2 linked regions of the Macaca mulatta genome follow. The protein of the gene in region 2 purifies or fractionates together with the protein of the main gene of each other region. This does not show direct contact. Links are inferred from orthologs where the notes say so. Each region holds a gene or a part of one and is shown on either strand. Other genes may lie near its edges.

Region 1 (3,916 bases), on a different chromosome or scaffold from region 2:
AGCGATTGCAGTTACACAGCAAGAACTTCATATCCCATAACACTTATCAAGACACAGAAACAAAGTTAAGTCTTGTTCAGAACCATGGGAAAAACCAGGTAACCTGATGAAGCTAGTTCTCTCCTTTTTTTTTTTTTTTTTTGAGACAGAGTCTCGCTCTGTTGCCCAGGCTGGAGTGCAGTGTCATTATCTCGGCTCACTATAAGCTCCGCCTCCTGGGTTCATGCCACTCTCCTGCCTCAGCCTCCCGAGTAGCTGGGACTACAGGCGCCCACAACCACGCCCAGCTAATTTTTTGTATTTTTAGTAGAGATGGGGTTTCACCATGTTAGCAAGGATGGTCTCCATCTCCTGACCTCGTGATCCAACCACCTGAGTCTCCCAAAGTGCTGGGATTACAGGTGTGAGCCACCGCGCCTGGCCAAAGCTAGTTCTCTTTTATTTGAAACTCACTCTAACACTGAGAGTAGCATTAGCACATTCACTTCACATCGTAAATGAAACTCAGGGTCTAAAAGGAATATACCGGAGGCCTCGTGCAGTGACTCACGCCTGTAATCCCAGCATTTTGGGAGGCTGAGGCGGGTGGATTACTTGAGCTCAGTGGTTTGAGACCAGCCTCGGCAACATGGTGAAACCCTGTCTCTACAAAAAATACAAAAATCAGCTGGGCATGGTGGCACACTCCTGTAGTATCAGCTACTTGGCGGGCTGAGGAGGGAGGGTCACTTAAGTTTGGGAGGTCCAGGCTGCAGTGAGCAGTGCTCACGCCACTACACTCCAGCTTGGGCAAAAAAAAGTGACGCCCTTTCTCAAAAATAAATAAATAAATAAGAAATAAAACAACTATACTAGAGTCATCATGTCTGTAACAGTCCTAGTTCCCAGATCCAAATCCCACTGTTGCCTCTGTACATCTTAAACTGACAAGGAAACAGAGGACAGAGGACCTACTGCTCAAGAACACAAAGATAAATATAGGACACTTACACCATCCAGTCCATCATGGCTATTGGTGAGAAGAATGGGGTCAGGGACTGGGAGATTCATGTCAGAGTGGATCTGAGTTAGGTCATGGATGTTTAAAATTGGTTCCTGAAAGACACCCACCCCAAAACATTAATCTTTTCAAGCTGAACAAAGAAGTATTTGATTGAAGAGCAAGAAATGAAAGCGCTTTTACAGTTTAAAAAAATAAAAAGAAGAATCAACACACAATTAGTTCCAGTTGACAGTAATACCAGGGCCAAAAAAATAGGGGAATTTGAGGAAAGAAAAGGGTCTCTCACCTTCAGAAAACTATCAAGTTCTAACAACTTCTTTGGGAAAAAATTTGCCACCAAGTCTTCTGCCTAAGGAGGAGGGAAAATATAGCTGAATTAATATCTGTGGGAAGGTCTCTCTCTCTCTCTCTACAGATATCTCCTCTTTGGGAAACTCTCAACCAACACTCATTTTTCTATTTATTTCACTCACCTCACTTGTGATGCGTTCCCTGAAAGAATCAACCTAAAATTAACAAAGAGAGCAATTCAGTACCTGGAGACAGAGGTAAGAGCAGGATAGAGAATCCCAAATCCAACTGTCTTTCCCTCACCTTGTAACTGTAATAAGAAGCTGAGAGGCCCCCAGACTGCAAATACTTTATTTTTTTGAGGATCCATTTTTCCATCTCAGGAGAAGAAAGCAGGGCTTTGAGGGCAGCACCTGCCTGTCTCCTCTCTCCTCTCCCCTCCCTCCCTCCTGTGTCTGAAGCTGTCTGAATTTGATAAGCAGACAAAAGACAGGTAGTTAGGAAAGATGTGAGCTCACAAACGTGCCAACCCCCACCCAGACCTGGCCTATGATACCAGGCAGGCCAGCCACCAAGGGCAGAGGCAGTGTCCAGGGACGTTGTTGGGCTGGGGGATTTCCAGCTGTCACTGGCCTAAAGCCCTGAGTCCAACACGTGTCCGCGGAGGTGTCCCCGGGACTCTCCATCATCAGACGCGGTACAGAAAGCCATCCTATATTTTCCTCTCCCGCGAAGCCGACCCCGGGAGTTGGGGGCTGGGCTGAGTTGAGCGGAAGCTCAGAGCTGGTATCCCCAGGGAGACAAAGACGACATGGGGAGTAGGAAGCCAGTCAGACTGCTGGGGGATCAAAGCGAGGGGCAAAAAGGCCGGACCGGTGCCGCTACCTTGAGCTTCACTTCCTGATCCACCTTCAGCAACGAGGCCATGGCCGGGCCGGGCCGTGTCCGATCCGCTGGACACCGGAGGCGCTGTGGACTCCAGGGAGGGGGCCGGAGGGACCTGAGAAATCTCGGCTGACCTCGGGACCCGGCCGCCCTCGCTGGCTCACTCACTGCTCGCTTGCTCCCTCCCTCCGTGCCGTCCGCCCGCCCGCCGGCAGCCTGCTGCCTGGTCGCTCTCTCGCTCGCCCTCCCGGCTTTCGCCGCTCACGCCGGAAACTGCGTCACAGCCAATCGCCGAGACTCCTGCGAGGCTGTGCACGTGCGCTGCGCAGCCGCGATGAGACTCGGGTTTGGATGCTCCCCGGGGTAAAGTGTTGGGTAGGGGTGAAGTAAAAAGGAGAGCTGTGGGGAATGGTGCGCTGAGAACTGAGCCTCCGAAAGACTCGGAAACGGTGCGACCCTCTCTGTTGGCCCGGAACTCGCCTTCACCGAAGGGACCTCAGTCGCTGCAGTCCCGGGGACAGCGCCGTCGCGCCCCAGTGACGTAGGCTCGGGGAAGTCGGGGACCCGGGTACTGGGTTCGGGGGTGTAGTCCCTGATTCCCGCTGCCTCTGCCCGTTTGCCGAGGCTCAAGTGTTTAGGCTAGAGCGAAAAACACAAGTGCGGTTGTACCAAGCTTTCCTGGTACATTTCCCTGCCAACTGACTGTCGTAAGCTTCCGGACCTCAAAGATCAACTACCTAATGGGCAAATTGATGCCCAGAGTAGGGCAAGACTTGTCCAAGGCGTTTCCAGTACATCCTGAGCCAGGACCCAGATCTCCTAACTTCTATGGCAGTGCTGTATCTATTTGCCTAATGGAAGCTTAAGACTATACCTCTTCATACACCCATTCATTCGATCTCTCTCTCGACATTGGATATTTCATTCAATAAAATGGGCCAGGGCACTGTCTCAGATTCTAGAAATATGTGAGTTACATATGTAGGTTGAAATCTTCTATTAGCCACAATTAAAAAGTAAAATAAGTGAAAATTTTAGTCATATATTTAACCCAATTTATCCAAGTCCTTCAACATGTAATCAACATTAAAAAATCGAGATCTTATGCATTCTTTTCTCATACCAAGTCTTCAAAATCCAGTGCATATTTTACACTTAACTGCACATCTCAATAAGAAAATAACACATTTACAGTACAGTGCTCAGTAGCCACATGTGGCTGCTGGCTTCTGTATTGAACAGCACAGCTCTGGGAAATCAAAGGCAAACAAGATTCAAGGTTGCTGGTCTCATGGGGCATAATATTGGAAAAACACCAGAAAGTAAACTGACAAAGTAACTGCAAAATTTGATAAATATTAGGAAACAAGTGTATGACATAGAAAATACCAGAGATCTATTTTAGATCGAATGGCCAAGGAAGGCCTCTGAACAAGAGACAAGCTGCGATCTAAAGGACATAAAGGGGTTAGCATGGAAAGAGTGAGAAGAGCCTTGAGACGTATAAGTGCAGCAAATGCTCTAGGGAAGGAAAGAGACTGTCTTGAAGACAAAGACTGGTGAGCTGGGGGTGAGGAGGGTTGTTAGTAAACAATCTAGATTAAGTGCAAAAAGAGGTCATCAGATTTATATTTTGGGGTCGCTCTTGCTGTTGAACATTTATCCTAGACTGGCCTCTCTACTAAGTGCTAGGAGAATGAGGGGAATACACAATTAAATGGAGTAAAGCACAAAAGA
Region 2 (3,916 bases):
GGATCTGACCTCATACACCTTGACAATCAGCTTGTTTCTGAAGTAAGGGTTTCTTCGAAAGAAGAACTTAAACTTGCAGCCTGTCCTAGGGTGTCTGAGCTCCTTCACTTCCAAATTGGTTAAGTAGCTTAACATCTCGGCATCTTGGCCTCTAATCATGGCAGACAGCTGTGGGTGGTGGCGGAAAGCAGTGACCCAGAAGCCCGGGATATTGCGAATGATGTCATTCCTCTGCTCTAGGTAGTATTCATGCATCTGCCCAAACCTGCGTTCCACCTGCAGGAGGGCCCTGTCAGCCTCGGCATTCACGGAGTCCAGTTCCAGCTGGATGGACTCCAGGGGGTTCAGGTGGAGACCCACGTTCAGGGGCCCGGGCCCAGGCCCTGCATCCTTATTTACCTCATCTGTTGCTCTGTTTCCTTCCGCCATGTCCATTTCCTCGCCTCCTAGCTTCTCATCCACTGGGGCTGAGAGCATGGCACACTCCTCAGGCTTCACGTCCTCGGCCTTCCCCTCTGCAATCACTTCAGACTCCGACCTCCCTGCACCACAGGTTTCTACAGCCTTCTCCCCATCTAGGCCGGGCGTCTCTTCACCCGGAAAGCCATTTTTGAGGCTGCCGTCAGTTGTCAGCGAGATAGAGGCTGCTTCTAGGCCCTCCGCGGGTGGTAGAGTCACTTCCTGTCCAGCTTTGATGGCTCCACGACTGCGACTCCCATCGACCAAGATGTGGAAAGTACGGCCACTATCTGCGGGATCCTGGGGTGCGACCCCCTCCTCTGGAAGCTGGGGCGGTGGGAGCACGACTGGCTCCAAGCGGCCCTCAAACACATCTGCCATTACCTGTGTCGCCTTGCTCTTCTCTCGGGACCTCTGGCCCTGGTGCGGGTCTTCCGGGGCACGGTCGAGAGTAGCAGGCCTGTGAGGACTCTCCAGGAGGCTCATGTTGGTAGCGGCCAGGGCGGCAGTCGGTAGAGGCCAGGCCACAACGGTGGGTCCCGTCAACGTTCCTCACACAAAATGGCGAGTAAACACCTCGACTATTTGCACCGCCCACTCTTCAGTCTCGCGACACCCACCCCTCAGTCTCGCGAGTCTGTGGTGGTGTCCTGTGCATCGTTATTTTAGCCATTGTGCTGGATGAGTAGTGGTATCACATGGCGGTTTTAATTTGCATTTAGCCAAAGCCTAATCAACTGAGAACCTTCTCATATGTTTTTTGGCCATTAGGATATTCTCTCTTGTGCAGTATCTGAGGCTTCTCCCTATTTCTCTGTTGGGCAGGTGTTCTTTTTCATATTGATTTGTAGGAAGCCTTTGTACATGCTAGATACTAGTCATTCTTCAAGTATAGATATTACAAATATTTCCTCCCACTCTGTGGATTACTTTTTCTGTTTTTTGAGGTTTTTTTGTTTTTTTGTTTTTTTGAGACGGGCTCTGTTGCCCAGGCTAGAGTGCAGTGGCGCCATCTCAGCTCACTGAAGCTGCTGACTCCCGAATTCAAGCGCTTCTCCTGCCTCAGCCTCCCAAGTAGCTGGGACTACAGGTGCCTGTCACCATGCCCAGCCTTTTCTTTTTTTTTTTTTTTTTAGTAGAGATGTGGTTTTGCCATGTTGGCCAGGCTGTTCTTGAACTCCTAGCCTCAGGTGATCCGCCCACCTTGGCCTCCCAAAGTGCTGGGATTACAGGCGTGAGCCACTGCGCCTGGCCTACTTTTTCATCATCTTAATGGTACCTTTTGAGGAACAAAAGTTTTTCATCTTAATATGTGTCAATTTGTCATTTCCCCCTCTACCTTAGTGTTTTTCTGCTCTGTTTAAGAAATCTTATCTCTTGCCTGGGCACAGTGCCTCACACCTGTAATTCCAGCACTTTGAGAGGCGGAGGTGGGAAGATCACTTGAGCCCAGGAGTTGGAGACCAGCCAGGGCAACATAGGAAGACCCCATCTCTATTTCAAAAAAGAATTTAAAAATGAAGAACCTTATCTCACCAAGATTGTTCAAATTTGTATCTGCCATCCAGCTGGAATTCATTTTTATGAGTAGGGTCACAATTTGTTTTTTTCCATATGAATATCTAATTGACCCAGCCTTGTTTATTGAAAAGACCATTCTTTCCACATTCATAGGTTTTTAAATGTTTCCATCAAAAGTGACATAAATCATTGGCCAGAGCTAGTCAGTTGACCTTGTCTAACTTTAATAGGACAGGGAGGTGTAACCTCCTCCTGAGCCTGGAAGGAGGAAACTGGAAATATTGGCAACTGCTGTATCACTCATCATGAAAAATAATTTGAGTAATAAACAAAAGACCAATAGAGTTAGGCCAAAGGACATAGATAAAAGGTAATAATAAACAGAAATTTATGTAAGACAATACAGAGTATCAACCAAAGATTAATAATAAAAAAGAGAAACAGTATTTGGAAAGGAAAACATAGTCACATTGATTATTTAAAGAAATATGACAGGATGTTAGACAGCTTTATGCCAATACATTTTCAAACTTAGATGAAATATATGGCTTCATAGAAATGTATAATTTATCAACAAGGACTGAAATGCAATAGAAAATCTAAATAGACCTAGAGACAGTAAATAAATGGAATCAGTAGCTTAAAAAAATCTTTCCACAAAAGTAGCGTGAGGTTCAAATGATTTTGAGGCAACTACTACCAAACATTCAAGGTACACATAATCCATTTTTATATTTATTAAACATTCAACAAATGTTTATTGGGTACCTACTGTGTGCCTGGTACTCTTATGGGCCCTCTGGATATAACAGTGAACAGAACAAGGATTTCTTCCCTCTTGGGGTTTACATTTTAGCAGAGGAGAAAGATAACAATAACAGGAAAATAATAATTGCACATTAGAAAGTTATAAGTGTTAAGGAAAAAACAATAGAGTAAGGAGATGGAAAGTTCTGTGGGTAGGGAGCGGGGAGCAGATTGTAGTATGAAATAGGGTGGTCAGAGGAAGCCTCATTGAAAAGATGAGATTTTGGCAAAGAGTCAAAGAAGTTGAGGGAGTCAGCCAGTAGAAATCTTGGAGAAGAGCATTTCAGGAAGAGAAGTGCTAAGCAGAAGCACCAAGACAGGAGCATGCCTGGAATGTTCAAGAAATAACAAGGAGGCCAGCATGGATGGAGCAAAGTGAATGAGGGAGGCTAGATCAAGTAGGTTCTTGTATGATAGTGTAAGAAATTTGGCTTTTATTCTTAATGAAATGGGAAATTACTACAGGATTTTGAGCAGAGGACACAAAATGTGACTTTAGTTTTGCATGAATCACTCTGACTCCTGGGTGAAAAATAATCTGTATGGAAGCAATGGTAGATTTAGGGGGATCTTTTAGGAGGCTGCTGCACTAACCCAGGTAAAAGATGTTTCTCAGACCAGGTGGTAGCAATGGAGGTAGATGGTGGATATAGTATGATGGTAGAGTCAGCCTGATTTCATGGTAAATTGGCTATGGGATCTCTTAGTTCATTTTCTGTTGCTGTAACTGAATACCTGAGACTGGGTAATTTATAAAGAAAAGTTTATTTAACTCACAATTCTGGAGGCTGAGAAGTCCGATATGCTATGCTATGAAGTAGCATGACAAAAAAGCAGAAGAGCTAGCAAGCACCTGGGAAAGAATGGACAAAAGAGGCTGACTCAGCATTATAGCAACCCACTCTCTCAAAAACTAATCCATTCCCATAAGAATTAATCCAGCCTTGCAACAAAGACTTAAATCCATCTTACCAACCTGATCATCTCTTAAAGGCCCCACCTCCCAGCATGGGGTATGAAAGAAAGAGAGAAGTCGAGGATGACTCCAAGGATTTTGACCTGAGCAACTGTTAGGATGGAGATACTGGAAGCAGAGTGGTGAAGGCTATAATGAGGAAGATCTTTGCAG

The links.
Region 1: the proteins of TSPYL6 (region 2) and PSME3 purify together in Homo sapiens (affinity purification with mass spectrometry; 3 studies listed by BioGRID and IntAct, counting the BioPlex papers as one, with this or other methods). This does not show direct contact. The link is inferred for Macaca mulatta from reciprocal best matches to the Homo sapiens genes TSPYL6 and PSME3.

Annotation. Positions count from the first base shown.
Region 1 is NC_133421.1:67,183,205-67,187,120, reverse strand, and holds the start of PSME3 (proteasome activator complex subunit 3), read right to left. Parts: upstream 2,457-3,916; 5' UTR 2,222-2,456; coding exon 2,180-2,221; exon of another isoform or gene 1,673-2,179; coding exon of another isoform or gene 1,598-1,672; intron 1,510-1,597; coding exon 1,477-1,509; intron 1,387-1,476; exon of another isoform or gene 1,353-1,386; coding exon 1,290-1,352; intron 1,096-1,289; coding exon 991-1,095; intron 1-990. UniProt on the Homo sapiens protein: Subunit of the 11S REG-gamma (also called PA28-gamma) proteasome regulator, a doughnut-shaped homoheptamer which associates with the proteasome. 11S REG-gamma activates the trypsin-like catalytic subunit of the proteasome but inhibits the chymotrypsin-like and postglutamyl-preferring (PGPH) subunits.
Region 2 is NC_133418.1:70,388,832-70,392,747, reverse strand, and holds the start of TSPYL6 (testis-specific Y-encoded-like protein 6), read right to left. Parts: upstream 2,868-3,916; 5' UTR 946-2,867; coding exon 1-945.